Linked DNA regions of Danio rerio. The protein of the gene in region 2 interacts with the protein of the main gene of each other region in a biochemical or structural test. Links are inferred from orthologs where the notes say so. Each region holds a gene or a part of one and is shown on either strand. Other genes may lie near its edges. The genes, in order: klhl20 and dapk1.

Region 1 (2,954 bases), on a different chromosome or scaffold from region 2:
GGTTTTACTGTAATTTTGACCTAATAAATGCAGCCTTACAAGCTAAATTAACTCCTAAAAATGGTAGCATTAATTACATTTTTACATTTAGTCATTTAGCAGACGCTTTTATCCAAAACGACTTACAAATGAGGACAAGGAAGCAATTTACACAACTAAGAGCAACAATGAATAAGTGCTATAGGCAAGTTTCAGGTCTGTAAAGTCTAAGAAGGAAAGTATTAGTAGTATTAGTATTTTTTATTTATTTATTTTTTTTTTTGGTACAGTTAGTGTCATATTCAGAGAGGCAATTGCAGATTAGGAAGTGAAGTGGAGACTAAATAGTTGAGTTTTTAGTTGTTTCTTGAAAATAGCGAGTGACTCTGCTGTTCTGATGCAGTTAGGGAGTTCATTCCACCAACTGGGCAGATTGAGCGTGAGCGAAAGTGATTTCTTCCCTCTTTGGGATGGAACCACGAGGCGACGTTCATTCACAGAACGCAAGTTTCTGGAGGGCACATAGATCTACAGAAGTGAGAGCAGATAAGAAGGAGCGAGGCCAGAAGTCACTTTGTAGGCAAACATCAGAGCTTTGAATTTGATGCGAGAAGCAACTGGCAGCCAGTGCAAACGGACTAGCAGCGGAGTGACATGTGCTCGTTTAGGTTCATTGAAGACCACTCGTGCTGCTGCATTCTGGAGCAGTTGAAGAGGCTTGACAGAGTTAGCTGGAAGCCCAGCTAGTAGAGAGTTGCAGTAATCAGTAATTGAATTTCAGGTGTTTTAAATCAAATAGAGAATGATTAAGAACACTTTTCTTGTTGGCAGTGGAGCGCTATAACCCTCAAGAGAACCGCTGGCATACAGTGGCACCGATGGGCACTCGACGGAAACACCTAGGCTGTGCCGTGTACCAGGACATGATCTATTCAGTGGGCGGCAGAGACGACACAACAGAACTGAGCAGCGCTGAGAGATACAACCCTAGGACTAACCAGTGGTCTCCTGTGGTCGCGATGACGTCCAGAAGGAGTGGGGTATGTGAATCCTTCATCTATGTTTAACATCTTATGGAAGAATTGTCCAGCAAACAAACTCTTGTGTTTGATCTAGGTGGGCTTAGCAGTAGTAAATGGTCAGTTGATGGCAGTTGGAGGATTTGACGGAACCACGTATCTGAAAACTATAGAAGTCTACGACCCTGATGCCAACACTTGGAGGTAAATGGAGAACACTACTATTAAAGAGTTTACTAAAACAGTTTTTCTTCAGTGGATTAACACACCAAACCAATGCCAAACAACTAGCACCAATGAAACCCAACTGTGTTGTTGCCTGGATTTGGCTCGGGTCTGGAACAAAAAGCTTTCCGTGAACACACAAAAAACAAACGGCAACCGACTGATTCAAGCATGCGCAAAGGACATGTCTTTCTGCACTGCGCGGGGCTGCTGTGTCTTTTTTTTGTTCAGAACAACGTGATGCATGCATGTAAAGCGTAAACAAAAAAGGGTGTAGTACCATCATCACAGTAATTGTGGCTCACCATGGAGGGATTTGCTCCTGCAAATATGTTTCTTAATCTGATCGTTAATATCGTTTGTAAACACTTGAGAAATATTGCGAAATTACAGCCGGCCTCTTTGCCTTAATTCTTGATTAGAGTTTTGTACTTGTTGCGTCACTTTGCTACGTCATACTCGCGCTCCGATTTATTACTAAATAACCAGTCAGAGCGCTCTCTTCAGTTAAGGACCCGACGCGGATTTGACATGCTGAATCAGGCCAAGGCAACCCACCGTTAAACCAGCTAGCAGGATCGATGCTGACTAGCGAAACCCAACAGCCATTGGTTTTGGTGTGTCCTTGCATTTAGTAGCATTATCACCGTAATTGTCACTGACCATGGAGGGATTCGCTTCTGCAAATATGTCTGATAATCTAATAATCCATATCATTTGCAAATATTTGAGAAATGTAGCGAAATTACAACCGCCCACTTTTTGTTCCTTCTTGACTTGATTTTTTTTTTCACTTGCTATGTCACACTTATGCTCTGATTTGCTGTATAACCACTCAGAGTGCTCTCTGTAGCCAATGGCCCAGTGCTGAATTCGACATTCTAAATGGGACCAATGCGATCTGATGTTAATCCCGACAAGAGGCAACTTGGAGTACACACTAAACCAACTAGCCTGACCGAAGAAGCCCAATGGCCGACTGTCGGCTTGGTGTGTCCCGGCCATAAAGCCTGATTTCTACTTCTGCGTCAAGTGCACGCGAATAATCCGGCGTAGCCTTTACACAGTCGTATAGACGAGCTTTGTGATTGGTTGGCCTGGTATCGTTGATGAGTGTGACTAACCCCTAAGCCTAACAGTGTGCGCTATCAAAACAAACATTGAGTATGTTTACATGGACACCAATAATCCGATTTTAATACGATAAAGACAATACTCTGATTATGAGTAAACATCGATTATTTTTATTTATTAATATAATCAAGGTCATAATCAAACTTAACTGAAATCGAATTAAGACATGTAGAGTAGCGATTTTAGTCTCATTATTAAAGTGCAGTACAGACATGTAAACACCTTAATCAAGCCTTAATTGTGTAGGAGTTTCACCGCATTTTGCGACAGGATAGTCCATACACGCACGGCTGTTTGACACTATTCTGCACCTACCGAGTCAGTAAAGGACCACAGACACCTGCATACAGCATGAGCAGGGCTTTATTTGTGCCGAAATACGCTGGATCCGGATCTAAAATCTTCATTCTACCTATCTTCCTTCTCACCCGCTGTCCTCTCTCGTCCGCTGTTCACTTTTACTTTCTTCCGTGACTCCCAATCCTCTTCGCTTTCGTCCGCAACAGTTCCCAAATTCACAAATTAAGCACTGGGCATGAGGTATCAAATTTCATTAAAACTACACTCTTTTAGCAGTTTAAACTCAAAACCAACATC
Region 2 (3,836 bases):
AGTTGCTCGCTCTCCTCTTTTTTCCCCTGCTCTGCTGGCCAAGCCCCTTCCTCCCGCAGCTCGTAAGGCTCCACGTCCATCTCAAAGCATTTTTTGAAAAAATTCTGAGGTAGACTTGAATCGAAAGATGGGGTTTTCATTGCTCTTTTTGGCTTCTTTCGCTTGGCTTCATAGCTGACTGCACGCGAGAGAAACATCAAACATTTTTTTCTTTTTAATCTAAACGAGTTCGAAAAAGTTCCTATATACTCAAAAAGGACAAAATGACTGGTCTAAACTGGCTGCAAAATATATGCACACCATAATGGTTAATCAACGCATTTTCCTTAATAATCTACAGCTTTAATCTTGTAATTATGATAGTTTTTAGAGATCTGTCCTTTTTTTATTCCTTTTTCTGACATTTTATTTATCTTTTGCTGATTATTTTATTAATTTGATGATGTTAATCTATTGCACATTGGGTGCACATGGCTCCTAAATAGCATAAAAGTAAAAGACATTGTGGATGTTTTATTTTAATTTTTTTTTTGAAGAAAAGAAAAGAAACAATGATTTAAATACACTGTTAACCATGGTTTAATGTATAGCAGTGTCATAATAAATTAAATTATTGTTAAAAATAAATTATGTTTTGTTTGTCGTATATACTTAGCTATTTATGTAATAAGGGCAAATGGTGTGTTTCAATCCAGCTACAACCACAAGTATATACCCACTGGAAAATTCTGACTTTAAGGTATTTTTATTCAACCAGCAAGTTTTTTTTTTGTTTGGACTAGAAATTATAAAAAAAAAAAAAAAAAAAAAAAAATATATATATATATATATATATATATATATATATATATATATATATATATATATATATATATATATATATATAAGCCCGAAATCATTTGTACCCCTATAAATATACACACACATACGTACATAGATACAGATACACACTTTAACACAGCAACATAGTACAAGTTCTCTTACAACCTCTTAATCACAGACTTCACAGCTTCAGGCGATGTCTGCAATTACTGTAATGAAAAGCCCTCTGAAAAGGAGGGGGAAAAAATCCATACATTTATTCTTAAGTGTCAGGACACACACTCATACCGATGTTGTCCTCTGGCAGCGTGAGAGCCTTCAGACAGTTCAGCCAGAATGTGACCTGGTTGAGCTGAGTTTCGTAGGGCTCCTCCAGGCTGAATAAGACCAGATGAATCGCTGTGGCATCATTGGCAGCGAAGTAGTCATACGAGCAATAATAGACGGGATTGCCAGAAAACTCCCATATACTGAAGTCTCCAACACCTAAAAACACACAAACTAAAATTTTAATTCTAAGTTCTGTTTAACGGAGAGAATATTTTCAACACCTTTCTGAACATAGATGTAATAACTAAGATTATTAGTCAAGACGCTAGTATTCAGCTTAAAGTGACATTTAAAGGCTTTACTAGGCTATTTATGCAAGTCATTGTATAAAAGTGGTTTAATCTGTAGACAATCAAAAAAACATTGCGTGGCGAATATGACAGAATAGACATTTATGATGCTTTAACAGACTGCTGATCTCTCGATTCATCAAAGAAGAGCTTGTTCACCGTTGACGTTGGCGTTCTGGATGTCGATGGCTTTAGTGGCAGTGTCGTCAGCCGTGGAGAGAGCATTATGAACAGGACTGAAGACTTCCAGCACTCCTTTGGTCAAACTGGGCTCAAACATCATACTGCGGCTCCGAACACTCACATTCTCACAGCCCGGGTACAGGTTAGAGATGCTCACAGACACTGCAGGAAAACAGAAAGACTCAACTCAATGGTATCTCACAGCAATTCATAACTTTTTGTATGAATTTGTTCAATCTCATTCATACAATTTAGTACAATTTCCCCCAACGATGGTTGGGTTTACGAGTGGGTTTGGTGGCATGCCTCCTTTTAAGAATCAAACATTTTCAAATGAATTCATACAATTTAGCCACTAAACTGACAAAACGCAAAACTAGTTACTATTCCTCAAGAAATCAGGCTGGTCAACTACACGGAATTTTACATGGAACCAGTTAGTTCATTATATTAATGTGTTGGTTCTGAAGGACAGTATAGCAATAAAGACATTTCAACAAAATCAGAAAAAAAGTTTGCACATACTAACAACCTACATCTAAAGCTGAGTAGATCTACTAAGTTAATCAGTTTGGTTTATACCTATGTTTTACCCATCAAGCACTTCACTCAGTTTGATTTACTCGTTCTCTTTTTAGCGGTATTAAATGATTTGCATTAAAGAAAACGTATTTAAAATCACATCCACACAAACAAATAAAGTAAGAAAGAAAAAAGATTTAGAAGAATCTGTTGAAGGTAGGATTGTATTTGGGCTTTTATATTAGAAAACAGAATTGGACATTTTTATCCTGTTTGAAAGTTTTCACCCCCTACACTGCTTTTAATGCATCGTGTTTTCTAATGGAGCATCAATGAGCCTTTGAACCTTTTCAATAGATGTGTTTGAGTCCCTCATTTGTCCTCAGTGTAAAAAAAATGGATCTAGATATCATAGTCATTGCTAGAAAGGGTTCAAATAGGCAAAAGATTCTAAAAACTGAAGAATCTGCAGAACATGGAAGGATTTTTCTGAAGGAAAGCAGATTTACTGCTCAGAAAAAAGGGACCCCCACAGTATTAAAAAACTTTTACAGGGAGTTATTATAATTTTTTAAGCTGTTTAGTATTTTGCACTATATGTTAACCTATTTTGTTAAATATCTTAGGACAGTGATAAAAAATAGTATGTTCCCTTTTTCTAATTTTTTTTATCATATTTACAGATTTTGCTTTTCATATTTACAGCAAAGTATTCACATAACATGGTATGTACACACATTTAATTCTTATACTTGATATTTTTTATGATTTATTATTATCCTTTATTGTTGTTATAATTATATTTCATTCATTTTCCTTCAGCTTAGTGCCTTTATTAATCAGGGGATGCCACAGTGAAATGAACCGCCAACTTATTCAGAATATGTTTTACACAGCCGATACCCTTATAGCCACAACCCAGTACTGGGTGAACAGTACTGGTGTACAGTTGAACACAGGGAGAGCATGCAAACTCCACACAGAAATGCCAACTGACCCAGACGGGGCTTAAACCAGTGACCTTCTTGCAGTGAGGTGATTGTGCTACCCACTGCCCCACTGTGGTATTAACACTGGCCCTATTAATAAAATTTGTATTTTCAGATTAATGAAGTAACTAAGTAAACAAGCACATTTTTTGTTCATAATGTTTTCTATAGGAAATAAAGCAGGCTATAATACAAAAGTATGGCCTGACCCCAAATTACACATTATTACTCATTTATAATAAGTTGATCAGTTTATTTATCTCTGCTTATTCAATGTGCACTCATTAAATAACAATAAAAAAAAACATATAAAAAAAATGCAAACATTAAAAAGCATTTTAAAAAATCTGAAAATGTTTATCTGGTGTCCATACAAGTTTAGAATCACTTCTAAAACAATACATTATGTTATTTGTATCGACTGAACTTCTTGGGAAGTGTTCATGTGATATAAAGAAAAAACTGAAACGTTTGACTCTTTGGAGGGAAACTTCTGGAACATTTCTGTTTATGGAACAGACTGCGTTGTTTTCAGCCTGTGGGGATGTGATGTGAAGTGACCTCACACAAGAACAAATAACTTGGACATGAAGATTCTGGAGGTGAGGTGAACTAGAGACTATACACAGCCTGAAGACACAGACAAACATTGAATTAATCATTTATGCTTCATATGGTTTGCCTATGGTTGAATTATGTT

What was found.
Region 1: the proteins of dapk1 (region 2) and klhl20 are reported together in a solved structure, tested with the Homo sapiens proteins (2 studies listed by BioGRID and IntAct, with this or other methods). The link is inferred for Danio rerio from reciprocal best matches to the Homo sapiens genes DAPK1 and KLHL20.

Annotation. Positions count from the first base shown.
Region 1 is NC_133177.1:37,094,985-37,097,938, forward strand, and holds part of klhl20 (kelch-like protein 20), read left to right. Parts: intron 1-810; coding exon 811-1,019; intron 1,020-1,095; coding exon 1,096-1,202; intron 1,203-2,954. UniProt on the Homo sapiens protein: Substrate-specific adapter of a BCR (BTB-CUL3-RBX1) E3 ubiquitin-protein ligase complex involved in interferon response and anterograde Golgi to endosome transport.
Region 2 is NC_133180.1:45,657,080-45,660,915, reverse strand, and holds part of dapk1 (death-associated protein kinase 1), read right to left. Parts: intron 1,788-3,836; coding exon 1,602-1,787; intron 1,309-1,601; coding exon 1,111-1,308; intron 1-1,110. UniProt on the Homo sapiens protein: Calcium/calmodulin-dependent serine/threonine kinase involved in multiple cellular signaling pathways that trigger cell survival, apoptosis, and autophagy.